4 linked regions of the Stegostoma tigrinum genome follow. The protein of the gene in region 2 purifies or fractionates together with the protein of the main gene of each other region. This does not show direct contact. Links are inferred from orthologs where the notes say so. Each region holds a gene or a part of one and is shown on either strand. Other genes may lie near its edges.

Evidence for each region.
Region 1: the proteins of splicing factor U2AF 65 kDa subunit-like (region 2) and sf3a2 purify together in Homo sapiens (affinity purification with mass spectrometry; 3 studies listed by BioGRID and IntAct, with this or other methods). This does not show direct contact. The link is inferred for Stegostoma tigrinum from reciprocal best matches to the Homo sapiens genes U2AF2 and SF3A2.
Region 3: the proteins of splicing factor U2AF 65 kDa subunit-like (region 2) and cpsf6 fractionate together in Homo sapiens (co-fractionation; 3 studies listed by BioGRID, with this or other methods). This does not show direct contact. The link is inferred for Stegostoma tigrinum from reciprocal best matches to the Homo sapiens genes U2AF2 and CPSF6.
Region 4: the proteins of splicing factor U2AF 65 kDa subunit-like (region 2) and prpf19 purify together in Homo sapiens (affinity purification with western blotting; 3 studies listed by BioGRID, with this or other methods). This does not show direct contact. The link is inferred for Stegostoma tigrinum from reciprocal best matches to the Homo sapiens genes U2AF2 and PRPF19.

What each region holds. Positions count from the first base shown.
Region 1 is NC_081383.1:19,450,589-19,457,878, forward strand, and holds the start of sf3a2 (splicing factor 3A subunit 2), read left to right. Parts: upstream 1-4,282; 5' UTR 4,283-4,335; exon of another isoform or gene 4,336-4,396; intron 4,397-4,476; exon of another isoform or gene 4,477-4,646; intron 4,647-6,070; exon of another isoform or gene 6,071-6,202; intron 6,203-7,290. Other genes in the region: plekhj1 (pleckstrin homology domain-containing family J member 1), read right to left, coding at 3,698-3,791. UniProt on the Homo sapiens protein: Component of the 17S U2 SnRNP complex of the spliceosome, a large ribonucleoprotein complex that removes introns from transcribed pre-mRNAs.
Region 2 is NC_081375.1:48,722,337-48,729,974, reverse strand, and holds the start of splicing factor U2AF 65 kDa subunit-like, read right to left. Parts: upstream 3,022-7,638; 5' UTR 2,793-3,021; coding exon 2,744-2,792; intron 2,729-2,743; exon of another isoform or gene 2,564-2,728; intron 1-2,563. UniProt on the Homo sapiens protein: Plays a role in pre-mRNA splicing and 3'-end processing. By recruiting PRPF19 and the PRP19C/Prp19 complex/NTC/Nineteen complex to the RNA polymerase II C-terminal domain (CTD), and thereby pre-mRNA, may couple transcription to splicing.
Region 3 is NC_081371.1:45,801,800-45,808,675, reverse strand, and holds the start of cpsf6 (cleavage and polyadenylation specificity factor subunit 6), read left to right. Parts: upstream 1-3,856; 5' UTR 3,857-3,911; coding exon 3,912-3,971; intron 3,972-6,876. UniProt on the Homo sapiens protein: Component of the cleavage factor Im (CFIm) complex that functions as an activator of the pre-mRNA 3'-end cleavage and polyadenylation processing required for the maturation of pre-mRNA into functional mRNAs.
Region 4 is NC_081399.1:7,396,482-7,404,426, forward strand, and holds the start of prpf19 (pre-mRNA-processing factor 19), read right to left. Parts: upstream 3,020-7,945; 5' UTR 2,967-3,019; coding exon 2,948-2,966; intron 1-2,947. UniProt on the Homo sapiens protein: Ubiquitin-protein ligase which is a core component of several complexes mainly involved pre-mRNA splicing and DNA repair. Required for pre-mRNA splicing as component of the spliceosome.

The sequences.
Region 1 (7,290 bases), on a different chromosome or scaffold from region 2:
TTCCTATTCATGTACCCATCCAGATGCCTCTTAAGTGTTGTAAATGTACCCACCTTCACAACTTCCACTAGCAGCTCATTCCATACACATACCACCCTGTGAGAAAAAGTTACCCATCAGATCACTTTTAATGCTTTCCCTGCTCACCTTAAACCTATACCTTTTGTTTAGGACTTCCATACCTTTGGAAAACAGACCTTGCTTATTCACCTCATCGATGCCCCTCATGGTTTTATAAACCTACAGCCCCTGACACTCCAGGGATGAAAAAGTACCAGCCTTTGAAGCGTCTCCTTATAATTCAAATCCCCCAGTCCTGGCAGTAGATTGGTTAGTGAGGTTAAATCACATGCTATCCAAATGAATACAAAATTGGCTTGATGGTAGAAGACAGATGGTGGTGTTGGTGCATTGCTAGCCTTTAATTTTCTTTGAATATATTTTTATTTTGATCCTTTGTGGTCCCTGTCCAACAGAAATTGGCGGAGACAGAGTCAAGGGACAGCCATTTTTTGTTCGTTTCTTTATTTATTTACCCCCCCACTCCAAAGTAATAGGGTCTTTGTTTTCACAATACAGTCAAGGAAACTTTATTTCCTGTTTCAAAACAGTAAGCAGGCTTTGCTCAGTGTTTCACCTGGTGCTATCCCAGTCTGAGGGAATATCTGATGGGGGGGGGGGTGGCACGGGAGAAGGGGTCTTGGTATTTTCTGGTTACACCTTTCGTTTAAAAGTAGAGGGATGTTATTTGGACTGGAGGCTTGCGACCAGCAGTGTGGTGCAAGGATGGGTTCACTGTTGTTCATCATTTATGTCAACAATTTGGATGAGAATATAGGAGATATAGTAAGTTAGTTTGCGGATGACACCAAAATTGTTGACACAGCAGACTGTGAAAGAGGTAATCTATGAGTACAATGAAATCTTGACTAAATAAGGCCAATGGGCCAAGTAGTGACAGGTGGAGTTTAATTTGGATTGATGTGAGGTGCTGCATTTTGGTAAAGTAAACAAGGGCAGGACTTACACAGCTGGTATGTCCTGGAGAGTGTTGCTGAGCAGAGGAATCTAGGGGTGCAGGTTCACAGTTTCTTGAAAGTGGCATTGCAGGTAGCTAGGTTGGTGAAGGCAGCATTTGGCATACTTGCCTTCATTGGCTAGAAGATTGAGTATAGGAGTTGTGACAAATATTGCATTATACAAGACAATGGCAAGGCCAATTCTGGCCATCCTGCTATAAGGAGGATGTTACTGATCTAGAAAGGGCACAGAAAAAAATTGCAAGGATGTTACAAAATGCAAAATATACTAGCGATTTGATCTGGATATTGCTGTAATGCAAGGCAGCCAGAAGGCATGTTATCTAATGATTAAACACCCACAAGCAGGAAATGATGATAAACAGGCCAAAGCAATAAACTAGAGCAATCAGTCCTAACACAACTGCTTTTAAATGTTAGTTATATATAGAATTTAGAAAGAGAATGACTTGTTAATGTTTCGGACTGCTTTTCATTCAAACTTGTGCTTCAGTTTAAACTCTCCCACAAAGCAAATATTGCAGACGCTGAAGTGAACAAATTGCAGGAGCTATTCAGTGGAGCAAGTAACATCTGTGGAGAAAAAAGCTAATATTTGAGGGATGCAATCTTTAAAGGAAAAAAAACTTTAAATATAACAGACATTAGAGGTTTTAATCAAGTAGAATTAGGCCAACCAAGATGGGTGATGGCAGGTGGGATTAAGTTTTCTTCTCTCATTCACTTGCCTTGCCTCTTGGATGATGGGGCTGAATATAGGGCAGACTCATTAGCAATTATCATTGTCAAATGTAAGATGGGTAAGTTGCCAAAAGCAGGTAAAGGGTCTAGAAACAGGTATTTGACAGAGGGCAAAAATCTGGCAGATTGAATTTAATGTGAATTTGTCTACTTTGGAAGGAAAAACGGAAATGTACCCACTATTTAAAACAGTGCAGGCAGAGATTGCCAAACTGTGTCTGTGTGACCTGTGATGCAAATCAAAACAAAAATCAGTTTGCAGCTCTGGCAAGTGATTAGGGAGACAAATAGAATGGCAATTATTACAAGGGGAATGGAATACATAAGCAGGAACATTTTATTGCTGCAGGGCTTTGGTGAAACCATATCTCAAATACATGTACACTTTTTTTCAAAAAAGTGTACAAGGTTCAATTGGCTCATTTCTGATATGAAGGGCTCATCTTACAAAGAAACGACTGAGCTGGGTGGGCTAGTTCCTTCCAAGAACTTAGTAGAATGAGGGGATCTTATTGAAATATACAAGGCCATGAGTGAATTTGATACAGTGGATAGTTTTGGATAGGAAAATGGAATGGAGACCACAATCAGATCACGTATGATTTAATGGGAAAGGCAAAAGGAAAGGCCAAATGGCCTACTTCTGTTCCCAAATCCACATTCCCATGCTCCTTCACTTACTAAAGCTTGTTACAGCTGATATTTTCCACACCTGAAACATTAACTCTGTATCGCTCTCTAGAGATGCTCTCAACATACTAACTATAGTCAGCATTTTTAGCTTTGTAAATACAGATGTCAGACCTCTTAGACCTCTCTCTAGTCAACATTTTTGAATGAATTGGATGGTTATCAATCTCCAAACTGAATTTGAAATCATTTCAACACATCACAAAAATCATGCTCATATGAACAAATGTCTCCATTCCTATACAGGATCATTGGCCATTTAAACCCTCATTCATGCTAGTCACCTCCAGACCACTCAACATGAACTCAGCATACTCAAAAGACTTATTTATTGCACAACAAACCCAGTTCGACCATCACCTCTATCCACAAGACTCACATTAACATCCAGATTTTAACAATTTTATGTTACTCTCCTTATCGGCAAATACATTTACAGTCTAATCACCATTACTCCCACATCTGCAGGCCACCTTGTGTTTGTCTTTCCAGCCCAATGAGCAGCTGCCCTTTAACTCCATTTATTGATGATCTTGTTTTCTGGCTATGAGACTTCACACTCAAATCTCTCCCTCTCCCCCCAACCCACTCTTTTTCTGCTACAGACCCCACACTAAAATAGAAGCTTTCTTTTTTTAAAAAAGAAACATTCATAACATTTTTTTGGTTCATGTGGTTTCCCTGTCCCCAGGGTAGGGGTTATTGTTACAGTAAAAACTTATAAAATGCAATCATAATAGGTTGGCATTTACTTTACACTCTCTGCTGTCCCCTCCATCGACAGCTAACATTGACATATAATAGAGCTAAACAATTTGCGGTGCATAACCACTGTTTTCTGATTGTAGTGCTTGCAGCGAATTTAAGAAATGGAACAGGCAACTGGGTTTAAGTAGAAGTGATAACTGCTAATTTAGATACTCGAAGGAAAGGTGGGCAGAGTCAACTCTTGCACGTTGCACTCAATGTCACCAGCGGGTTACAAAATTATGAGGTAGGTATTGGTTCCAATGTAACACCCCAGGACTGTTTTCATCCTCCCTGCTGAGCAAGTGAAATCCCTTTCAACCCATCCGACCCCAATTCTGAGGAAGGGTCACCGGGCCCGAAACCTTAACTGTTTCTCCCCAACCCACCCCACCCCACCCCACAAATGTTGCCAGACCTGCTGAGCTTTTCCAGCAAGTTCTATTTTTGTTTCTCGAGCAGCTTAGATTGCTCCTTACCGTCGTTGCGCTTTGGGCCCTTCATGGTGAGCTCGGCTGCCTTCTCGGCCGGTTGTTTGGAGAGACACAGCAGCTCCTTCTCATTGTATCTCATGGTAGCTGGCAGAAAGGCCCCTTCCCCCTCGATATCACCCCTTCCCTCACCGAGGGGAGGGGGGGGGGGTGGATGTTAATGAGCAGTTCCTTGCCTTCAGACACAGCCACCACCCTGGACAAAGCTGCCCCACCTGGTGAGCGTTATCTCTGGAAGCGAAGGCCGAGCGGGAGGTGCGTGCCGTTGGTACAAAATCGCGATAAAGTCTGCGGCATATCTAAAAGTCAATAAACACGGGCACGCCCAATCTAGCGACAAATCATGACTTCGAGCTGCGGCGGAGGCTGGCACTACGCGGCACACCGAGCGGCAGACGGAACAAAAACCGCACCTCACCCCAACGCTCGACCTCCCTCAGAATCCACCGCGTCTTCTTGTCAATAAAGTTATTGAAAAGCCCCACTTCCGGTGGTCCACGACCTTCTTCCGGTTTTTGGCGCATCGCGCCAGTGTTCTTTGTTAATAAAGTTACTGATAACAGTAAGTTCCGGTGCGCCGCGACTTTCTTCCGGTCGGTTTTGGTGGCTGTTGGAGGCGTGTTCAGGTAGTCGCGGGGCTGATGGTTCGAGGCCGCTAGTTTATTGGTCCCTGGTAGCCGGAGCTTGGTGGGTCAGGCACAATATACCTTCGTCATGATGAATGTTCTTTCCCTCACTTCCCCCCCCCCCGGACCGGTTGTTAACCCGGCCATTTTCTGAGCTGGCCAAGGAACCTGAGGCCTGTGTTTCCAGGCTGTTTAATGCAACGTTTTCCTTTGTGTCTGCTTGTTTGTTCAATGGTAAAGCTGGAGCGATTGGGGTCAACTTTGTTCGGAGTGAGCTGAATAAGCAAAGTGCTTGGTCTGACTGAAACCAGGTTGAGAGTTTGTTTCCCCTTGACTTTTGGGTGGTGGTGTGAGGAGAAAGGTGGTTCGGCATAGAGGACCGAGTACCTAACACTGAGATGAGGAGAAGTTTTTACAACAACGCACTTAATGGGTTAGAGATAGTGGGAACTGCAGATGCTGGAGAATCCGAGAATCTTTTTCTGATGAAGGGTCTAGGCCCGAAACATCAGCTTTTGTGCTCCTAAGATGCTGCTTGGCCTGCTGTGTTCATCCAGCTTCACACTTTGTTATCACTTAATGGGTTAGATTTTGAATCTTTAGAATTCTGTCTTGGAGTACTGCCTACAGTTTTGTTTTCCTATCCTGAGCAGGGGATAAATATTTTTTGATCAACTTGTTCAGAAATATTATGATGTACCTCTAGAGCATCAGAGGGACTTTAACCCAGGCCTTCTGGTTCAGATGTAGGGTGTTTACCAGTATGTCACTCGACCCTTCTGAAAAGGGGATGTACTTGCCATAGAAGGAGCACAATGGCAGTTCATCAAATTAATCCCTCCGACAGCATGTTTGTTATACCAGGGATTGAGGAGATTGGGTATATATTTCTTAGAGCTTTGAAGATTTGGAGTTGAACTCATTGAAACTTACAGGACATGATAGGGTGAATATAGATAAGCTGTTTTCTCTGGATGTTAAACGAAAAATGAGGGGCCATAATCTCAGGATAAAGGATGAGGTATTTGGACTAAACTAACAGGTGCTGTGTTATTAGGTATATTCAAGGTTAAGATTGATGGATTGTTGGTGTCTCACAAATTCCTGATATAGGATTTATGAAGTTAAGGCAGAAAGTCAATGACATTTGTATTATGTGGTGGCCCAAGCTTAATGAACTGGGTGGTCTATTCCTTTTCCATACATTTAGTTTAAGAGTAGTGGAAAATGTTTGTACTGCATATGTACATGAATGATGTAAGGAGGAATGTTTTTGTTAATATATATGCTTCCAAACACTTGTGTGGTGAGGGAATCTTCTTTATTTCTGACGACAGATTTTTGCTTCAGCTTTAACTACATTTCACAAGATTGATCACTGGTTGCATCTGTTCTATTCTGTAGTTTTTCCCAATGGCTTGAGTTGAAACATTCAGCACATCATCACAAATATTTATCTTTTTGTTCCTATGCCATGTGTGTTCCCAGAATGTTAATCTTCTACCAGTTTTTTAAAATATATATTGCCTGACCACAATTTCAGCTGTTAGTACCGTTACATTCTACCCAAGTATGCAGATAATGCCAACATTTGTGTCCTTGCTGTTTCCTTGATTTGATGCTGCCCCTGTTTGGATGAGTGTGAATGGGTTAGAAACTTCTCTGGAATGATCTTAGCTGATGTTCTGACCCTTTGCGAAAAACTGAGTCTATCTCTCTTCAATTGCTCACCAAGGATCCACCATAAACAAGCTTGGTTTGCTGTTTGGAACAACTGACTTTGGCCTCGTTCCTAGTATCACTTGGGATCAGCTCATCTCCAAGTCTGAATATAGTAAATTTAACCTGCCCTCCAGTAGCTGAGCATGTAAGTGCTCAATATTTAAGTGAATTTTGAGACAACTCTGCATCTTTGAAGATGTTATGCTTTTTGGATGAAGTATTAAACCAGGATGTGTTCAACAACAGCAACTTAGCATTTACATTGGGAACAGGAACAGACCATGTAACTAGTCAAGCCTGCATCACCATTCGTTTACTTCAACACCACTTCCCTGCACTATATTAGTACTGTTTGATATCATTAATTTCTGACTTGAATATCTCAAATTTTTTTTTAGTTTCCGAAGCCCCTGGGTAGAGAATTCCAATATTCATTACCCTCTGAGTGACAAGATTCATGCACGTCTTGATTTGAACTTAGCTTACCCTTCCTTAGTTTATGTCCCCTGGAATTATACTTACCAGCCAGATGAAACAGCTTCCCTGCCTTCTCGCATCCTGTAAGCATTATGTAAGTTTTAGTGAGTTCATCCCTCATTTTGTCTTGAAACTTTAGAGAATGCAGATCCATCATCTTCAATCCATCATAGAAAAATTACACTACCCCAGGGATTAATCTAGTGAACCTCCATTCCCCTCCTGTTCTGGCATGCATATCCCTTTGTTAGATATGGGAATCAAACTGCACACTGTACTCCAGGTGAGGTCATGCAAAGGCTTTATTCAACTGCAGCAAGATATTTTTATTCCTGTTTTCAAGTCCCCTTATGATGGAGAGCCAGCATACCATATGCCTTCCTAGTTATTTGTTGAACCTGAATGCTAACTTGTAGGATCTTTGGACATCCTCAGTTTCCAACCTCTCACCATTTAGGAAAAAGTCTGCTTTTCTGTTTTTGTTTCTCAATTAAAGCAAATAACTGCACATTGACTCACATTATTTTCCACCTGCATATTCTAGCCAATTCACTAAGTTTGTCTAAATTCTTCTTGAAGCCTTTCTTAGTCTGTTTCACAATGTACCCACCCAAATTGGTGTCATCAGCAAATTTTGAAATATGACAGTTGGTGCCTAAGCTGAAATTATTGGACTGAAAATAGCTTATGAACACAAGTCAATATAGTTTTGTGCATTATTTAACAGCCTGCTTTCCTGAGCATGGTCTGTTAATT
Region 2 (7,638 bases):
GGTTGATATTTTTACATATGCCTTAATAATTAATTCTCAATTATTCATAGCAGGAATGCGCCTGAAGTTAGACATAAAATACTGTTATGTACTCCTCATATTTCTTTGGATTGCCTGTTGGGTTTCTCCTATGTTAGCTCAATATCAGTGAAAGAATATCTACAAATATGGCCATCTCCAACAGAGAATCTACTCATCGTGCCCCCTTGGCATTCAATGGCATTACTATTGCTGAACCCCCACTATCAACATCCTAGGGTTCATCACTAGCCAGAAACTAAAACATGGACCAGCCAGTAAACATTGTGGCTACAACAGCAGGTCAAAGGCTGAGAATTTCAGTGAGTAATTCACATTCACAGTCTCCGAAGCCTGATTGCAATGTAAGCCAGGTGTGTGATGGAATACCTTTCATTGCCGGCACACACACAGTTCCAAAACAAGAAGCCCAACACTGTTCAGGACAGAACAGGCCACTTCAATCCTTCCACCACTGCACAGCGGCTGCAGCAGGTTCCGTCTACAAGACGCACTGCAATTATTCACCAAGTTTTCCTTGACAGCACCTTCCACATTCTCAAATTCTAACACTTACAAATACAAAGGAAGCAGATGCCTGGGATGACTTTAATCAGTAAATTTCCTTGCGAGTCTCTCACTATCCTGACTTAGACGTACAATGCTTTTCTTTCATTTCTGCTGGGTTAAGTCCTGGAATTCACTTCTGAGTGCATCTACCTGATGTAGACCATAGCAGTCCAAGAAAGCAGCTCATGACCATGGGCAATAAATGCTACCCTAACTGTTCAAATCCCACCACTGAATATTTTTGAGAAATGTATGCTTTTAAAAAAAATCCGAAACTATATCTGAACAGAATGAGTGACAAATAAAACTTGTACTTAAAATAGCTAGTTCACAGATTCATGCTAAAAGTAAAAAGTCACCTAATTGTAAATCCCTCATAACTCTTTCATAAATATTCAAAAGACAGGAAAGCACCCATGTTTCCAGGGGTACTAAATCTGAGAGACAAATTTACCCAATAATTCCAATTCCCTACCTACTTAAAAATCTGATCAAAACCACATTCTTAAGGGTATGCAACAATGTTGAGTTTCAATATATGTATAAGAAATAAGAGTTTTTCAATTCAGAGGAGACTAAATCATATAATCTGTAATGTCGTATACTGTAACTGAAATCCAAGTTGGCTAATAGGTATAATCAAGTAAAATTCAAATTTCTGCTTAATATAGGAAGGACTGAGTGAAGCTTGGAGAAAAATCCAAAATATAATTTTTGTAAGGGTTAGCAATTTCTTGCAACTTCATCTTGGACTGCTCTACAGAGTATGTACATAATTCATAAAATGCTCAAGTTGGTAAAAACTGAATGATTCAAAGGATTCAACTGCAGCCTCTTACTGGATTTTAGCACCTGTTTGCAATTTTCAGCTATTCAAACAGCAGGAGGCAACAGCAAGTTCTAACCAGTTGTATGAAACGCAGTTAAGGAACAGCGGCTCTACTAAATACTAATATATTGATTGTTTAAAAAAATCTCAAAACAGCAAATGCTGAAAAATTCACAGACAAATACATTCAGAAAATTTTGGTCTTCACACAATTATAAAAGAACATACAGGCAGATCCCAGGTTGCGGACGGGTTCGGTTCCTGAGTTTAATTTGTACACAAGGTGGAACACAATGCAGGACAATTATAAAGCAAGTATGCGTATCAAAATTTCTTGTACTTATGTTGGATATTTTAAATTATATCCCAGTATGAGATTGCTTTCATAAGTACAAACATTTGTATGTTGGACATTCATAGATCAGCATCTCTCTGGAATAGATTAACTATTGATTAGACTTGTTTGTCAATTAGACATTTGACCAAAAGAAACATAATTCAATTTAATACATTTAAATACTGAATCAAACCCTTCAATGAAATTGAAAAGGCAAAAGATTAAAAATATTTTAAAGTAAAAACATATAGACAAATCCACATCTGTCATTACTTCAGTACTCCCCTAAAACTGCAGGCAGCCAAACATACAAGGTTTGGCCCGAAACATATGCCTTCCTGCTCCTCTGATGCTGCTTGGCCTGCTGTGTTCATCCAGCTCTACACCTTTGTTATCTCAGGCACCCAAACGTGCAAGGTTTTAGTGAAAACAGACACAAATACACGTTTTGTACCAAGGTGAACTGTTTTCCCTGTGCAGATCTCCCTTTGGTTCCGAAAAGGCACGACTGTTCCTTCTCTTACCATTTTGCCGTTTATATCCCTACAGCAGACTTCTGGATTCCCTTTTATGTTGCTAATGAATGGGTGGGGGCAAAGGGGGTACGGGTCAGAACATAGAGCGCAGTGGTTGGAGGGGCTGAATGAGGAGAAGAGGCAGTGTGCAGAGGAGCTGAGAGAGAGGGAATGCCCAAGTCTCCACATGGGCTGAATGTGGAATCGGACTACGGGGGGTGCAGAATACAGAGGGACGGAATGGCCTTCTTCCTGTCACCAGGGTTGGCTAAGTTGACACTGAGCTTGCGCAATGCACCCACCCGCCGCTCATTCGGTATTCATTGAGAAACCAGTTTTAAATTAACTCCTGGAAACACGGACGATTTTGACTCGAGGCCGCAGCAGGGCCGACGGGGTGGGATGACGGGGAGGCCCTGGAATCCTTTATATAAAAAAACCCAGAAAAAGCCTGGTCCGGTAGGCCCTGCTCACCTTGTCGGTTCTCGTGCAACTGTTTCTCGAATTCGTCAAAGTCTGACATTTGTGTCTGTGTGAACCTTTACGATTTTTTTTCAAAAAGAAAGTGGGTGAAACTTGTTTTTTTTAAAAAGAAAACAAAAGGTGGTTTATCAATCGTGAGTCCCGCGCCGTCCCTCGATCACCGTTAAAAACGGTGCCGCAGCTCTCCCCCCCGCCGACTCGGGTTCAGACTCTGCTCCCTCCGCACAATGGCCGCTTCACCCGCGGCTTCCGGATGGCGCTCTCCTCCTCCCCTCCCCCAACGCCGGGACCGGCCTCCGACTGACAGCTCAATTCACCAATCGTTGCCGAGAGTATCCCCCCATGGGCGAATCGTTGGGGCAGGACCGCGGAGGCCACGTTGGGTCGCGGAGGGACGGTGCGCGCAGAGAGTCAAACGCCGTGTGGGAACTTAACGCATTTCACTGCCGCTCTTCCTCAAAGTGACACAATGACAGTAACAGACACATTCAAAATAAACATTCCCTAACTTTCACCCAGTAAGGTGTAAAGTGTTTTCAGTTACGTTTACATTTTTGTTTCCATTTCTTCGTTTGCTAGCCAATACCTACGGGCTCAGAGATGGCTTGTTTATTCTGTTTTGGTTGAGTGAGTTCTGAGATGGCTGATGAATCCAATGGACCATTTCAAGACTCTGCCACATGAAGGGCAAATTGGACTTGAAGGACAGGCACCTAGAATAGAGGTTGTGCTCCCATTGAAGTCCTTCAATCTGTTTGATGCCTTCTAAAATAAATTTCCCCCTTTGATCATGCCATGAGTTGCTGCAGAGACTCCCTCTCTTTATAGATGCTTAGAGCACCTCCCTAAAGTGTTTCCCTCTGTTCTTCTGGCAGTCTCCTGTTGTGACTGAGTTCTGAGTAGAAAGCAACCAGATCTATTGTCGAAAAATTTAATTTTTATTCTCCTGTTTGACCAGTTTTTGAAGAAGGACAACATGAGACACTTTAAAAGTACCAAATTAAGATACATGGGGAGCTTACTGTTATATTGCTAATTATCCTGATATTTTGTGTTTCTTTTTAAAGTTGTCTACTTTTATACGTTTCTGAATATAGTACAAAAAAAATGATGGAGTCATTTTGTATCACCACGCAAAGTCAAGAGCCAGTTCTCATGTATTCAGGGCAAATTAAACAGTAGAGCCCATCTAAATCTGGATAAGAACAATCAGTTTTTGTTCCAGTGGGCAAGACGGAAAATTGATGAAAAAAGAGTTTGCTTAAGCTTTTCATCTTGTAAATCAGCACAAAAATAATGCCAAATTTCAAATAACCAAACAATTATACAAGAGAAGAAGATGCTAAATAATTGGCGATAACAAAGTGTGGAGCTGGATGAACACAGCAGGCCATGCAGCATCTTAGGAGCAAAAGTTGATGTTTTTGCGAGTTGACTTTGATTGCTTGAGGCACTGTCTTGGAGAAAGTGATGAAGAGCTACATGGGCTCTCCAAAATTACATAAAATTTGAAGCTGTTGCTTATTTTGTAATGTATGGGTTCCTGCATGTGAATGCATATCATTTATTCACAGCACAAATCAGCTATTTTACAAACTCAACAGATTATTTTAAGCTATGCTAATGCAGACGTTAGCACTCTTATTTAACAAGTGCTATAAACCATAGAGTCATAGGGCTGAAAGAGCATGCAAACAGACCCTTTGGTCCAACTCATGCATGCCAACCGGATATCCTAAGTTAATCTGGTCCCTCTTGCCAGAATTTGGCCCATATCCCTCTAAACCCTTCCTTTTCACATACCCATCCAATTGCCTTTTAAATGTTGTAATAGTACCAGCCTCTTCCACTTCCTCTGGTAGCTCATTCCGTCCATGCACCAGTCTGTGTGTGAAAACATTGCAACTTAGGTCTCTGTTAAATTTTTTCCCCTCTCATACCGTCTAGTTTTGGACACTGCCACCCCGGGGGAAAGACCTTGACTATTTTCCCTTTCGATGCCCCACATGATTTTATGAACCTCCATAAGGTCATCCACAGCCTCCGACACTCCAGGAAATATAGCCCCAGCCTATTCAGGCTCTATCTATAGCTCCAATCCTGGCAAGATCCTTATAAATCTTTTCTGAACCCTTTCAGGTTTTACAACATCCTTCCTGCAGTAGGGAGACCAGAATTGAATGCAGTATTCCAAAAGTGGCCGAACAAATGTCCTGTATAGTCCCAACATGACCTCCCAATTCCTATACTCAATGAACTGATTAATAAAGGCAAGTGTACCAAACACTGCCTTCACTATCCTATCTTCTTGTAACTCCACCTTCAAGAAACTATGAACCTCCCACTCCACAGTCTCTTCAATTAGCAACATTCTCCAGGACCTTACCATTAAGCCCTGCCCTGATTTGCCTTACCAAAATGCAGCACTTCACATTTATCTAGACTAAACTCACTCTGCCACTCCTCAGCCCAATGTCCCTTCTGACGAAGGGCCCATTGTATTCTGAGGTAACCTTCTTCACTGTCCACTACACCTGCTATTTTGGTGTCAGCTGCAAACTTACTAACCATACCTCCTCTGTTCACACTCAAATCATTTATCTCAATGCAAAAAGCAGTGGACCCAGCACTGATCAAGCTAGTTCTAAATTCAAATGGCTAGTTCTCCCTATATTCCATGTGATCTAACCTTGCTAATCAGTCTGCCATGAGAGACCTTATTGAATGCCTTACTGAAGCCCATTTAGGTCATATCCACTGCTCTGCCCTTATCAATCCTGACCCGAAACATTAACTCTTGATTCCTCTTCACAGATGCTGCCAGACCTGCTGAGTTTTTCCAGGCTGTGGACGCCAGGGCATTGAGTACATATGAGACTGAGATAGATAGGTTCTTGATTATCAAGGGCTATGGGGAGAAAGCAGGAGAATTGTATTGAGGAACTTATCAGCCATGATTGAATGGTGGAGCAGACTCGATGAGCCGAATGGCCTAATTTTTGTTCCTATGTCTTATGGTCTTACTTCTGTTTTAGTTTCTGATTTACAGCATTTGTAGTTCTTTCAGTTTTTAGGGAAAATTTGAACCTCAGGCTTTGCAGGAAGGCACGGGCCTTTGATGGAAAATATATTTATCAGCGCTTCAAACATTGCAAATATTAGTGTATAGGTGAGATAAACATTTTCTTGCAAATATTGTATTTTTTAAGAGTTTTCATGAAACCTTTATTTGTTGTGGTAGATCTTCAGCTCACCTCCACCCTCCTGATGGCTGTTTCAGATTCTCTGTTGTGCATGGACTGTCAACCCTATGATTTAGCATAAGGTCTTCAGACAGAAGTCCTGCTTTGCTGTAAATTTGCTGTTCATACTCTTTGGAGGGTTTCCTTCTTCAGTTCATAAAACCTCAGCATTGTTCTACCCTGTTGTAAAATAAACAGAAGTTGCATCTAGGTTGTGGTACATGGTAGAGCAAATATGACACATCAGGAACTTTCTGATTGACAAGCAAGTGGACAATAAAATATCCTTGCAGGGCAATTGCAGAAAGTTGTTTAAAACACTAAAAGAATGTAAAGTTTGTTGTTTCTGACACTCCAGGGCTACAGAATCATAGGGAGATGATTGTGTAGTGGTAATGTCACTGAACTAGAAAGCAATTCCATGGGCCATTCTAGGGCCATCTATTCAAATCCTACCACAGCAGATGGTGAAACTGGAATTTAACAGAAAAGAAAATAAAGAATAAAAATCTGGCCTAATAGTAATCATGTGACTGCTGTGAATTGTCATTAAAAACATCCCATCTGGCTCATTCAGGGAAGGAAATGTGCCGAGGGGTGGCCTACATATGAGTCCACATCCATAGCAATATAATTGACTCTTAGGGCTGAGCAATAAATGCTGGCTTTGTCAATGGCAGCCCCATCACAAGAACAATAACACAGGAAAAAAATGATTACAAAGTGTGGAGCTGGATGAACACAGCAGGCCAAGCAACACCTTAGGAGCACAAAAGCTGACGTTTCAGGCCTAGACCCAAGGAAAATTTTCTGGTGAAGGATCTAGGCCCGAAACGTCAGCTTTTGTGCTCCTAAGGTGTTGCTTGGCCTGCTGTGTTCATCCAGCTCCACACTTTGTTATCTTGGATTCTCCAGCATCTGCAGTTCCCATTATCTCTGATCACAGGAAAAAAATGACTCAGCTTCTAACTCAGGTACTTCAATGAGAGGCTAAATATTATAGACAACTGGGTTATTTTTCAGTGTAAGACTTAGTAGGGATGACCTCTATATTAACATTCTTATGCACACTGACAGGATTAGTGACTATTTGTAGTCCATATTAATGGCTTAGATAAAGAGACTGAGTATAATATATGCAAATTTCCCGAAGATTCAAAGCTAGGCGGGGAAATAGAGTGGAAAATGCTCCAGCGAAGCTCAGTGCAAGCTGGAAGAACAGCATTTCATTTTCTACTTGTGAACTCTGCAGCCCCCTGGACTTGATATCGAGTTCAACAACTTTAGGGCTTGAGGCACCTTCTCCTTGTCCTTACCTCAATCCCTACAACACCAGCCTTTGATATCACATGGGCTGCTGCCATACACAACCCATTGTCAGCTACTAATAGCCTGTATTAGCAGCTATTTATTTGCCCAGTCTGACACTCCCCACTCCTTTGTCTGTCCAACTGTTTCTCTCTTTCTTTGTGTTCTATCTCCACATATCATTTACTTTGCCACCCTCACCCCCACTCCATCTTCTGCATCAATATCAACATTTTCCTCGCTACCATTGGTTCTGATGAAGCTTCATTGGACCTGAAATGTTAACTATACTCTCTCGCCACAAATGCTGCCTGAACTGCTGAGTTTTTCCAGTAA
Region 3 (6,876 bases), on a different chromosome or scaffold from region 2:
GGACTGTACTGTACTACAAAGATGCAGGCATCATGTTGCAATTGGTTAGATCCCACTTGGAGAACTGAGGAGATCTGAGCACTATATCGTAGGAAGGATATTTTGGTCTTGGAGACAGTACAATGTAGGTTTACAAGAATAATACCTGGACTTCAGATGTTAGGTTATGAGGTGAGATTATAGAAATTAGGCCAGTTTTCTCCATATTTTAGAGGGTTAAGAGGTTACCTTATTGAAGTCTTCAAGATATTAACAGGAAAAGACAGGCAGATAAAGATAAACTATTTCCGCTGGTTGGGGATTGTAGAACTGGGGACATTGTCTGAGAATTAGGGCCAGACCATTCAGGAGCGATGCTAGGAAGCACTTCTACACAAAAAGGGTGACAGATGTTTGGAATTCTCTTCCACAAATGGCAGCGAATGCTGGATCACTTGTTATTTCTGAGAGAGACAATCTTTTGTTAAATACAAGTGTTAGGTGATATGGGTCAAAGGCAGGTTTCTGGAGTTGGGCAACAGATCAACCATGATGTCACTGAATATGGAACAGGCTGAAGGAGCTCAAGGAGCAGAATGGCCTGCTCCTATTCTTATGTTCCTTTGTGTATTTCAGTGAATAGCCACTATAGTAACCATCTGCATAAATTAAACATTGAGATATCAAGCTGGAACATAATTTACTGGCCTCCATTTGCACACAGCTGACCTAGATTGTCTTGGAGATCAGACAGGCCAGACAATAAACGGAGGGATAAAACACAAGAACAGATTTCTGCCCCTGCCTCCCTGTCCCTTCACACGATGTTCACAGAAGCTGCTCAGACTGCGAAAATGTGAGAAGGGTGTTTCACAGGGTACAATGCTAGGACCTCTGCTGTTCACCATTTACTCTGAAATTTATTGCTGGCTGCTGCCAATATGTCACCCTTCAGTTCTGTGGCACTGCAAACCTGTGTTTCTGCACAAGTGTGACCACTTGACAATTGATGCAGCCATGAGAAATCACTTCCCTGAGAGATTATTAAGAAAACAGAGATCAATATCTGAAGAATTAATTGAGTTAAATGGCAGCATCAAATAGTGTGATGTGACAAATGGCCTGCTTTGTGCTGTAATCATTCTATGACAGATACATTTAATGTAGGCTGGCTAAGCACATCGAGAAGAAAGGAACAGTAGATATGTTGATAGGGTGAATGACGAGTGACCAGGAGGAGGTTCATAGTTTCATCAAGATTTTACAGCATGGAAAGAGATCCTGTGTCCCATCGTGTCCATACCAATCATCAAGCATCTCTCGATTCTGATCCCATTTTCCAGCACTTGGCTCACAGCCTTGTATGCTATTGGATATCAAGTGCTCATCTAAGTATTTCTCGAATGTCTAAGATTTCTGCTCGCACAACATTTGATGCAGAGAGTTTTAGCTACCCAACACCCCCTTGGTTGAAAGGATCTACAAGTCCTCTATAAATCTCCTACTTCTTCCTTCAATACTGTGCCCTCAGGTTATTGAGTCCTCTAGTAAAAGGTTCTCCCCATCTCCCCTTACTAACCCCTTATAATGTTGTACATCTCAACTCTGGACCCTCCTCATTCTTCTCTGCTCTAAGGAAAACAATGCCAGCCTATCTAGTCTCCTATCCTCCCTGAATTATCAGGTAATATTTTGCTGAATTGCCTTTGCACTCTGTCCAATGCAAGTACATCCTTCCTGCAGTGACCAGAACTGCATACAGTAGTTACATACAGCTCCATCATAACCTCTAAAGTAAAACAAAGAACTGCAGATGCTGGAGATTTCAAACAAAAACAGAAATTATTGGAGAAACTCAGCAGGTCTGGCAGCATCCATGGGGAGAAAGCACAGCCAATGTTTCGAGTCTGATGACTGTGCAGAACTGTTTGTATCTAGGAAATGTGTTACTCATGCTGAAGGCAAAGTGGAAGGGGCTGGGGGAGTGGGAAAGTGGGTGTGGTGAGTTGATGGGTGGAGATTGAGCCCAGAGAGAGAGGGATGTGAACAGGTTCGGTAAACAAGAACAGCAGGTCAGGGCAGAAGAAAACCTGCACACTTGATAATAAAGAGCTACGTTTATGTGTAAATGGTTGATTGCGCTAAAAGCAACCAGTGCATTAGCAGACTGGGTTTGGAAATGGGTAAGAAACATGGAAGGGTGGAATCAGACTCTTAAAGTTAATGAACTCGATATTGAGGGTATTGATGCTGCAGTATTCCCAAGTGGAAACTACTCCTTGTTCTTCACAGCCTTCAGCATGTCAGCAATGATGAGCATATTGCCAAAACCATCGCCAAGCCTCCACATCTCACCTTCAAACAACTGCCAAACGTTGAACAGACCATTGCTTGTTGCAAACTACCCAGACTTCAGGATATCGACCACAACACCATACAACCCTGCCACGGCAACCTCTGCAAGACATATTGGATCATTGTCATGGATACTACCATCACATATGGGAAGACCGGCCACCATGTATTCTGCAAAAATTCATGTGACCCACCCAGTGTTTTCTATCTCATATGCTGCAGGCAAGAATGCCCCGAGGCATCATATATTGGCAAGACCACATAGACGAATGTCACCAAATATGACAACAAATGAATGGACACTGCACAACAATTGCCAGACAAGAATGTTCCCTCCCAGTTGGGAAAAACTTCAGCGGTCAAGGACATTAAGCCTCCAATTTTCAAGTAAGTGGCCTTCAAGATACACAACAATGCAGAACTGCCGAGCAAAAACTGATACCCAAGTTCTGTATCCATGTAGATGGCCTCAACTGTGATCTGGTGTTGATGTCACGCTACATGTGATCCCATCACACTGTTATGTATCTGTAAAATCTTCTTTACTGTCCTGTTTTGACGTGATCATCTTGATAAATTTTTATGATCTCTCGACCTTAATTAGTTTGTACAGTTTGGATTACTACTACTTTGGTTAGACCCTCAGCATGCGGCTCTCATGTGCTCCTAAAATGCTGCTTGGCCTGATGTGTTCATCCAGCTCCGCACTTTGTTATCTCAGATTCTCCAGCATCTGCAGTTCCCATCATCTCTGATACAATGTTATTACAGTCATTTGGTTTGTCTCCACCGCTGCCTTATTTTTGTTTTTTTGTAATTATCTCTCTACCTCATTTAATCAAATCGTAGGTCATTCCTTCACGTGTTATTTGGCTGTTGACACTTTACTCTCATTATCCGACACTCTTGGTCACCTGCAGAGGACCTAATACTCTGCCTGCCAACACTCCAGTCACACCACTTGTGCAACCTTTTGCTCTCTCTGCCTATAAATGATGTGCCTGTGTGCTCACTTCACCTGGCGAAGGAGCAGCGATTAAAAAGTTTGTGATTCTAAATAAACCTGGTGGATTATAATCCAGTGCCACCTGATCTTTTGAAGAAGGGTCACTGGACCCGAAATGCTAACACTGCGGATGCTATCAGACCTGTTGACTTTTCCCAGCTATTTCTGTTTTTGTTTCTGATTTCCAGCATCTGCAGTTTCGTTTTGAGAAGGTCCTTCTGGTCCTCTATACTTGCTTAGGTCTTGTCACTCAACACAGTGTTTGCCCTGAATTAGTTTATGCTCTTAAATTAGAAAGTTAGGTGAGAACTGCAGATGTAATTTGGTATTTTAAGGATGCAGGTGTTGGAAGGGGCGGGTGAGTGGTGGTTGCAACCTGAGACTGGAATGGAAATATTTCGTTTCCCCCCGAATGAAGAGATCTTGCTCTGTTTTTTGGGGGGGTGTGAGGTGTAATTGCGATGGCGGCCTGCTGGGGAGGATGAGGGCGCTGTATCCGGAAGTGATGCAGTGACTCTTCAAACGGCCGCTCGAGGCGCAAAGAGGGAGAGAGAGTGCGAGAGTCGGTGAAATGGCCGACGGTGTGGATCACATTGATATCTACGCGGATGTTGGCGAAGAGTTTAATCAGGTAACGATCGGTACCGGTGGTGCTTTGGAGCGAGGCCGCCGCTTGCCATTTGTCGCCCGGCTCACCGCCGACCCGCTCCCACACACAGTCGCGGAGATGGGCGGGCGGCAGCGGCGAAGTCGGCCTCGGTTCACTGAGCGCAGAGGGAGGAAGAGAAGGGCGTGCAGAGGGAACACCGATTCCCAGGACCCCTTCACCATCTCTCTTCCCCCCCCCCCCCCCCCCCCAGCCCGGTACTGGGCTGCGTATCGTCATTCGGAAACGCAGGTCCGGACCCGCTTCTCTGAAAGCGAAGGTGGAAGAGTGAAAAACTAGGCCGCTAGCTCTCCTTTCTTCCCCCTCCCCCGTTTTATTTTTCCCCCCCTCCCCAAAGCTTTTCGTCCGGCCGAGGGGTCTACCCCCCGGTGGCGCAATATTATTTTAAAACCGCGTTGAGTTGTATTTTCTCCTCGGCAGCCGTCTTTATTGCCGGTGGGTACCGCGCTGCGGAGCGAGGCGCTGCTTTTTGGAAGAACAAAACATGACAACATGGCGCCCGAGAGCGGGAGGCGGGCGAGTAAACAGCGGCTACTTACTGCGTATTCTTTACCCAGCATATTCCTGGAGTCCGTCTCCCAACAGATCTACTTAAAATCCTCCCTACGGCTTCATCTGGAAGATTAAGCGTTTAGGATGGGAAGATTTCCAATTATTAGGCAAGAAATGGCTCTTAAATGGAGTTGAGTGGGTGCTGAATGATCTGGAATGTTATTTTCCTTGCACCCTTTTGGCTGTAGTCGACCGTCAATCTGTTTTCAGCATCGAGTCTAACAAATTATGATCCACACATAGAAGTGATCGGAATGCAGTTTCAATTAATGCTAGTCTACAACGGATTAATACGCAAAATTTTATTAAAATTGAGCATCTCTACAATTGAATTCGCAGATTGTAATTCCTCATCTCACCCCCTCCCCCATGTCCTGGTTACATAGGCAGTCATTGATCAGTCGTCACGTTTGTTCCTGAGGCTGCTGTACATGTTTATTTACATATTTTAGTTAAAGTAATTTAATGTTCTGAAAAAAGTAATGTATCACGTAATTTTTGGTGTCCTGAAGTTATGCCAAATATATTCCAAGTAGAATCCGAGAAACTCAATGTATCCAACCCATCGTGTCTGAACTGGCTCCCTGAAGAGCTACCCAGTCCCATTCTCGAAGAAGCGTCTTCGGAGCACAAAAGCTGACGTCTTGGGCCTGAAGGGTCTCGGCCCGAAACGTCAGCTTTTGTGCTCCTAAGATGCTACTTGGCCTGCTGTGTTCATCCAGTTCTACACTTTATCTTGGATTCTCTGTCACCTGCAGTTCCCATCATGCGAGTCCCATTCTCCAGCCCTGTTTCTGTAATCACTTTCAAATATATATCCAACTTAAAACTTCTGATAAAATCTACCTCCACCGTTCTTGCGGGCAGTGCATTTCAAATCCTAGCATGTCTTGGACTACAGAGGTTTCCCCTTATCTCCCTTCTAGTTCTCTTGCTCATAGTCTTCAAATTGTGATCAGCTTAGTTACTGATATACCAGCTAATGTAAACAGAATATCCCCCTTTACCCTGTCAAAACTGATAATTTTGAATGCCATTATAAGATCACTTGTTAAACCTCTGCTCCAAGGAAAATAATCCCAACCCCCCTCTTTTTCCTTGTATCTAAAATTCCTTACTACAGTGTTGTTTTAATATCTCCTTTTGCACTTTCTCCAAGGCTTCAACATGCTTAAATAAGGTGCCTCGAACTGAACACAATACTCCAGTTGTGAGCTGACCAATGATCAGTAGAGGGTAGCATTGGTTCCTGGCTTTTATACTTTATGACATTATTTGTCAAACCAAGGATCCTTTAAGCATTCCCAAGAATTGTTTCAAATTGCCCGGTCACCTTCAGAATTATGTACCTTAATTCCAAAAATCCAAGTTGCTCGCTAACTCTCAATCTAGGGTGCATCACATCTGGATCAGGTGACTTTGCGTGGAGTCCTGCCAGCCTTTTTTTGCACCTCCTCTTTATCTATCACTCTGCTCAGTTGCTTAACACCCACATTTTCAACTGTGCCATTTCTAATTGATAAAACCAAAAGCACAGTACTCACTTAGTACCTGTGCCATACACTTTGCTTCAGTGAGCAGCTCACCCTGCTTATTCCTCATGGGCCCCACTCTATCCTTCAGTCATCTTCTAACATTAATATGTTTGAAGAACATTTTTACTGTTTATCTGAGCACAGACAGCCATCCTTTCCTCATGCTTCATCTTAAACTTCGTTCTACCAGCTTTAATCTCTATGCATTTGAGATTTGCCGTCCTAATTTCTAATGTTATTCCAATATGGTTCATGTGCTGTCTTTTTCTTCCTTATGTTCTCAATGATATTTTTAGTCAACTAAGAGTAAAGGTCTAGTCTGGGATTTTAATCATCAACTGATTTTTTTTTTCTTTACACTTTTTCCAAAATAATATTGAACCTTATGATAATTATTTCCCAAGTGCTCTCCCACTTTGAATTTCTGCACTTGACCTACCTCATTTTGCAGGACAAGATCCAGCACAGCACTCTCCCTGGTATGATTGGAAATAATTGTCCACAGCCTGTGATTATCCTATTGTAAATTTTTCTCCATTTATTTAGAAATTGCTCTTACTGACAATTTTATAGTTCCAAAAACTACATTAAATAAGTTTTTCCATGACTTATCTGCCGCCTTTTATTAAAACCAAGTTCCATGGCATGTCATTTCAAAATGCAGTTTTAGTGCAAATTTGGTTATTGAAGTACCCAAGAGAATGATAAGAGGAAATTTATCTTATCTACTGGGTGAAGAGTTAAAAATGGGTGGGAGTTAGCAGAGGTATTGTGGGGTGTGG
Region 4 (7,945 bases), on a different chromosome or scaffold from region 2:
CAGGAGCTGCAGATGCTGGAGAATGTGAGATAACAAGGTGTGGGGCTGGATGGACACAGCAGGACAAGCAGCATCAGAGGAGCAGTGGGGTAACAGGAGCTGCAGATGCTGGAGAATGTGAGATAACAAGGTGTGGAGCTGGATGAACACATCAGGCCAAGCAGCATCAGAGGAGCAGAGGGGTAACAGGAACTGCAGATGCTGGAGAATGTGAGATAACAAGGTGTGGAGCTGGATGAACACATCAGGCCAAGCAGCATCAGAGGAGCAGAGGGGTAACAGGAGCTGCAGATGCTGGAGAATGTGAGATAACATGGTGTGGAGCTGGATGAACACAGCAGGACAAGCAGCATCAGAGGAGCAGAGGGGTAACAGGAGCTGCAGATGCTGGAGAATGTGAGATAACAAGGTGTGGGGCTGGATGAACACAGCAGGACAAGCAGCATCAGAGGAGCAGAGGGGTAACAGGAGCTGCAGATGCTGGAGAATGTGAGATAACATGGTGTGGAGCTGGATGAACACAGCAGGACAAGCAGCATCAGAGGAGCAGAGGGGTAACAGGAGCTGCAGATGCTGGAGAATGTGAGATAACAAGGTGTGGGGCAGGATGAACACAGCAGGACAAGCAGCATCAGAGGAGCAGAGGGGTAACAGGAGCTGCAGATGCTGGAGAATGTGAGATAACAAGGTGTGGAGCTGGATGAACACAGCAGGACAAGCAGCATCAGAGGGGCAGAGGGGTAACAGGAGCTGCAGATGCTGGAGAATGTGAGATAACATGGTGTGGGGCTGGATGAACACAGCAGGACAAGCAGCATCAGAGGGGCAGAGGGGTAACAGGAACTGCAGATGCTGGAGAATGTGAGATAACAAGGTGTGGGGCTGGATGAACACAGCAGGCCAAGCAGCATCAGAGCAGCAGAGGGGTAACAGGAGCTGCAGATGCTGGAGAATGTGAGATAACATGGTGTGGGGCTGGATGAACACAGCAGGACAAGCAGCATCAGAGGAGCAGAGGGGTAACAGGAGCTGCAGATGCTGGAGAATGTGAGATAACAAGGTGTGGGGCTGGATGAACACAGCAGGACAAGCAGCATCAGAGCAGCAGAGGGGTAACAGGAGCTGCAGATGCTGGAGAATGTGAGATAACATGGTGTGGGGCTGGATGAACACAGCAGGCCCAGCAGCATCAGAGCAGCAGAGGGGTAACAGGAGCTGCAGATGCTGGAGAATGTGAGATAACAAGGTGTGGGGCTGGATGAACACAGCAGGCCCAGCAGCATCAGAGGAGCAGAGGGGTAACAGGAGCTGCAGATGCTGGAGAATGTGAGATAACAAGGTGTGGGGCTGGATGAACACAGCAGGACAAGCAGCATCAGAGGAGCAGAGGGGTAACAGGAGCTGCAGATGCTGGAGAATGTGAGATAACATGGTGTGGGGCTGGATGAACACAGCAGGACAAGCAGCATCAGAGGGGCAGAGGGGTAACATGAACTGCAGATGCTGGAGAATGTGAGATAACATGGTGTGGGGCTGGATGAACACAACAGGACAAGCAGCATCAGAGGAGCAAGGGGGTAACAGGAGCTGCAGATGCTGGAGAATCTGAGAAAACAAGGTGTGAGGCTGGATGAACACAGCAGGACAAGCAGCGTCAGAGGGGCAGAGGGGTAACAGGAACTGCAGATGCTGGAGAATGTGAGATAACGCAGTGTGGGGCTGGATGAACACAGCAGGACAAGCAGCATCAGAGGGGCAGAGGGGTAACAGGAGCTGCAGATGCTGGAGAATGTGAGATAACAAGGTGTGGGGCTGGATGAACACAGCAGGACAAGCAGCATCAGAGGAGCAGAGGGGTAACAGGAGCTGCAGATGCTGGAGAATGTGAGATAACAAGGTGTGGGGCTGGATGAACACAGCAGGACAAGCAGCATCAGAGGAGCAGAGGGGTAACAGGAGCTGCAGATGCTGGAGAATGTGAGATAACAAGGTGTGGGGCTGGATGAACACAACAGGACAAGCAGCATCAGAGGAGCAAGGGGGTAACAGGAGCTGCAGATGCTGGAGAATCTGAGAAAACAAGGTGTGAGGCTGGATGAACACAGCAGGACAAGCAGCGTCAGAGGGGCAGAGGGGTAACAGGAACTGCAGATGCTGGAGAATGTGAGATAACGCAGTGTGGGGCTGGATGAACACAGCAGGACAAGCAGCATCAGAGGGGCAGAGGGGTAACAGGAGCTGCAGATGCTGGAGAATGTGAGATAACAAGGTGTGGGGCTGGATGAACACAGCAGGACAAGCAGCATCAGAGGAGCAGAGGGGTAACAGGAGCTGCAGATGCTGGAGAATGTGAGATAACAAGGTGTGGGGCTGGATGAACACAGCAGGACAAGCAGCATCACACCCAGGTTCAGATGTGTTCATCCAGCCCCACACCTTGTTAACTCCCAACACCAGGCCCAGGATCAGGCTCAGACCCAGGCTAAGGTTCAGTCCCAGGCCCAGGCCCCAGTTCAGACCCAGGCCCAGGCCCCAGTTCAGACCCAGACCCAGGCCCCAGTTCAGGCCCAGGCCCATGCCCCAATTCAGGCCCAGGCCCAGGTCCCAGTTCAGGCCCAGGCCCCAGTTCAGACCCAGGCCCAGGCCCCATTTAAGGCCCAGGCCCAGGCCCCAGTTCAGACCCAGGCCCCAGTTCAGGCCCAGGCCCATGCCCCAGTTCAGGCCCAGGCCCAGGTCCCAGTTCAGGCCCAGGCCCCAGTTCAAGTTCAGGCTCAGGCCCAGGCCCCAGTTCAGGCCCGGGCCCTGTGCTCCCACTGTCCATGAGGCGCAAGGCCCACTCCGCTCCTTGAGTTCCCGGTCTCCCCCCACACCCCGGCCTCTCTCTCTCTCTGCCCCGCTCCCGGGGGAGGGGGGTATCTTCCTGCCCCCGGCCCCCGCTCCCACTTACTCCAACACAGCAGCGACATGATGGCGGCGGCGGCGGCTCCCGGGGCAACTGGGAAATGGCGGGAGGAGAGGTCACGTCATTGGAGGGGCGTGGCCAGAGCGTGGCGTCATTACGCCGCGTGGGGTGGGCGGGGAAACAGGGACATCATCACGCGCGTGGGGTGGGCGGGGAAGAAGGGACGTCGTCACGCGCATGATGGGTCGGGAGGGAGGTAGGAGACGTCATCGGTGTTGAGTTGCAGGGGAGGAGACTGGAGAACGTCATCACGTTTGGGGAACGGGGAATGTGAGAGATAGTGGGAACTGCGGATGCTGGAGAATCCGAGATAACAAGGTGTGGGGCTGGATGAACACAGCAGGCCGAGCCGGCGTCATCACGCTTGGGTTTTGGGGTGGAGAATGCAGCGAACGTCATCTCGCCCGTGGCGGGAGGCCGGGGTGAAGAATGTAGTAACGTCATCACGCTGGGTGAAAAGGGGCGGAGACTGTAGGAGCCATCCCGCAAGGATTGGGCGGAGTGGGGGGGGGGTGCGGAAGTGACGTCATCAAAAGTGGGGGGAAAGGGGCGGGGACAATAGGAAACGTCTCAACGCTCGGTGACAAAAGTGCGGTGGACTGCAGAGAACGTCATCACCTAGCTGCGGCTGCGTGGGAATGGTTTGGGGCGGGGGGGGAGGGAGAGCGTGACCCCTAGCGGTGGGGTGGTGACCTAACAGGCAGTTCACAGGAGCAGGTCATTCGGCCCCTCAATACTGCTGTACCATTACATAAGATCATGGCCAACCTCTTCCTGTGGGTAAAGCCCAGCTTACCCGCACCCCTCACCATGACCCTAACTCCCTTTACTGGTCAAACATCTGCCTTTGCCTTATCGAAGCTTTCAACATGGTCCCCTCAACTGTGCAGGGGATCCCACGGGTTTCCTGACCCATTGGGAGAAGATGGTCCTCCTCAACTCTGCCCCCCGGCTCCTCGTCTCAGCTTCCAGTGGGAGCAGCCTCCTGCTCCCTCCTTACCCATTCCCTTCATCGTTTTACCCTCATTCTTCCCAACTCCGCTGAGTATAGACCCAGACAGCTCAACCTCTCCTCGTCTTCCGACCCTCCCGACCCCGGGGTCTCTCCCCGTCATCCGGCCCTCCCAACCCCACGGTCTCTCCTCGTCATCCGGCCCTCCCAACCCCACGGTCTCTCCTCGTCACCGACCCTCCCGACCCCGGGGTCTCTCCTCGTCACCGACCCTCCCGACCCCGGGGTCTCTCCTCGTCACCGACCCTCCCGACCCCGGGGTCTCTCCCCGTCATCCGGCCCTCCCAATCCCACGGTCTCTCCTCGTCACCGACCCTCCCGACCCCGGGGTCTGTCCTCATCATCCGACCCTCCCGACCCCGGGGTCTCTCCCCATCATCCGACCCTCCCGACCCCGGGGTCTCTCCTCGTCATCCGACCCTCCCGACCCCGGGGTCTCTCCTCGTCATCCGACCCTCCCGACCCCGGGGTCTCTCCCCATCATCCGGCCCTCCCAACCCCACGGTCTCTCCTCGTCATCCGACCCTCCTGACCCCGGGGTCTCTCCTCGTCATCCGACCCTCCCGACCCCGGGGTCTCTCCTCGTCACCGACCCTCCCGACCCCGGGGTCTCTCCTCGTCACCGACCCTCCCGACCCCGGGGTCTCTCCTCGTCACCGACCCTCCCGACCCCGGGGTCTCTCCTCGTCATCCGACCCTCCCGACCCCGGGGTCTCTCCTCGTCATCCGACCCTCCCGACCCCGGGGTCTCTCCTCGTCATCCGACCCTCCCAACTCCGGGATCAACCGGGTGAGCCCCCTCTGCAAACCCCTGCAGTGCCAGTACATCCTTTCTCAAGGGAGGAGACCAAAACTGGATGCAGTCCTCCAGGAGTGGCCTGATCAGCTGCAACATAAACCTCCCTGCTTTTAAACGCCATCCCTCTATCGCACTGATGGACAGCATCCCCATTTACCACCTTAAGTACCCACTGCACCTGCAAACCAGCTTCCTTGTTGTGACTCGCGCACAAGGACACCCAGATCCCTCTGCACAGCACACCCTGCAATCCTTCACTGCTTAAACGATGGAGCATTTCTCTGTTATTCCAAGCGAAACTTCCCGATTGCAACCTCGCCCACTGGCCCGACTTATCTGCGATGACCCCATGGCAGAATTTCAGGGTCCCCTGCACACTTTGCGCATCATCCAGCAAAGCTTTGACGAACATGACGTGAGGGTGCAAGGTACGCTGTCCACGCACCCCCCCACCCCCACAACCCCGTGTTGAGAGCGGGGAGAGATGCAACAGTGTGAGTTCGATTCGCCAGCTCACCAATGCCAGGCAGTGACTGTTGGGCACAGAGTCTGTTTACAAACCCATAGGGAACTACCACTATTCACAGAATGTATAACATTACAGCGCAGTACAGGCCCTTCGGCCCTCAATGTTGTGCCGACCTGTCATACCGATCTGAAGCCCATCTAACCTACACTATTCCATGTACGTCCATATGCTTGTCCAATGACGACTTAAATGTACCTAAAGTTGGCGAATCTACTACCGTTGCAGGCAAAGCGTTCCATTCCCTTACTACTGTCTGAGTAAAGAAACTACCTCTGACACCTGTCCTATATCTTTCACCCCTCAATTTAAAGCTATGCCCCCTCGTGCTCGCCGTCACCATCCTAGGAAAAAGGCTCTCCCTATCCACCCTGTCTAACCCTCTGATTATTTTATATGTTTCAATTAAGTCACCTCTCAACCTTCTTCTCTCTAATGAAAACAGCCTCAAGTCCCTCAGCCTTTCCTCGTAAGACCTTCCCTCCATACCAGGCAACATCCTAGTAAATCTCCTCTGCACCCTTTCCAAAGCTTCCACATCCTTCTTATAATGCGGTGACCAGAACTATACACAATACTCCAAGTGCGGCCGCACCAGAGTTTTGTACAGCTTCACCATAACCTGTTGGTTCCGGAACTCGATCCCTCTATTAATAAAAGCTAAAACACTGTATGCCTTCTTAACAGCCCTGTCAACCTGGGTGGCAACTTTCAAGGATCTGTGTACATGGACACCGAGATCAAGGGTATCTGAGCACCACCATGCTATAATACTGGCTGGAACACCAGTAATACTGGTCACGGTGCCGATCATACCATTCTGGAGTCCAGTTGTACTGGTCGTGGGGCCGATCATACCATTCTGGAGTCCAGTTGTACTGGTCGTGGGGGCCGATCATACCATTCTGGAGTCCAGTTGTACTGGTGGTGGGGCTGATCATGCCATTCTGGAGCCCAGTTGTACTGGTCGTGGGGCCGATCATACCATTCTGGAGTCCAGTTGTACTGGTCGTGGGGCCGATCATACCATTCTGGAGCCCAGTTGTACTGGTCGTGGGGCCGATCATACCATTCTGGAGTCCAGTTGTACTGGTCGTGGGGGCCGATCATACCATTCTGGAGTCCAAGTTGTACTGGTCGTGGGGCCGATCATACCATTCTGGAGTCCAGTTGTACTGGTCGTGGGGCCGATCATACCATTCTGGAGTCCAGTTGTACTGGTCGTGGGGGCCGATCATACCATTCTGGAGTCCAAGTTGTACTGGTCGTGGGGGGCCGATCATACCATTCTGGAGTCCAGTTGTACTGGTCGTGGGGCCGATCATACCATTCTGGAGTCCAGTTGTACTGGTCGTGGGGGGCCGATCATACCATTCTGGAGTCCAGTTGTACTGGTCGTGGGGCCGATCATACCATTCAGGAGTCCAGTTGCACTGGTCGTGGGGGGCCGATCATACCATTCTGGAGTCCAGTTGTACTGGTCGTGGGGGCCGATCATACCATTCTGGAGTCCAGTTGTACTGGTCGTGGGGCTGATCATACCATTCTGGAGTCCAGTTGCACTGGTCGTGGGGGCCGATCATACCATTCTGGAGTCCAGTTGTACTGGTCGTGGGGCTGATCGTACCATTCTGGAGTCCAGTTGTACTGGTCGTGGGGCTGATCATACTATTCTGGAGTCCAGTTGTACTGGTCGTGGGGGGCCGATCATACCATTCTGGAGTCCAGTTGCACTGGTCGTGGGAGCCGATCATGCCATTCTGGAGCCCAGTTGTACTGGTCGTGGGGGGCCGATCATACCATTCTGGAGTCCAGTTGTACTGGTCGTGGGGGGCCGATCATACCATTCTGGAGTCCAGTTGCACTGGTCGTGGGGGCCGATCATACCATTCTGGAGTCCAGTTGTACTGATCGTGGGGGGCCGATCATACCATTCTGGAGTCCAGTTGTACTGGTCGTGGGGGCCGATCATACCATTCTGGAGTCCAGTTGTACTGGTCGTGGGGCCGATCATACCATTCTGGAGTCCAGTTGTACTGGTCGTGGGGGCCGATCATACCATTCTGGAGTCCAGTTGTACTGGTCGTGGGGCTGATCGTACCATTCTGGAGTCCAGTTGTACTGGTCGTGGGGGGCCGATCATACCATTCTGGAGTCCAGTTGTACTGGTCGTGGGGGCCGATCATACCATTCTGGAGTCCAGTTGTACTGGTCGTGGGGCCGATCATACCATTCTGGAGTCCAGTTGTACTGGTCGTGGGGCCGATCATACCATTCTGGAGTCCAGTTGTACTGGTCGTGGGGGCCGATCATACCATTCTGGAATCCAAGTTGCACTGGTCGTGGGGGCCGATCATACAATTCTGGAGTCCAGTTGTACTGGTCGTGGGGCCGATCATACCATTCTGGAGTCCAGTTGTACTGGTCGTGGGGCCGATCATACCATTCTGGAGTCCAGTTGTACTGGTCGTGGGGGCCGATCATACCATTCTGGAGTCCAAGTTGTACTGGTCGTGGGGGGGCCGATCATACCATTCTGGAGTCCAGTTGTACTGGTCGTGGGGCTGATCATACCATTCTGGAGTCCAGTTGCACTGGTCGTAGGGCCGATCATACCATTCTGGAGTCCAGTTGTACTGGTCGTGG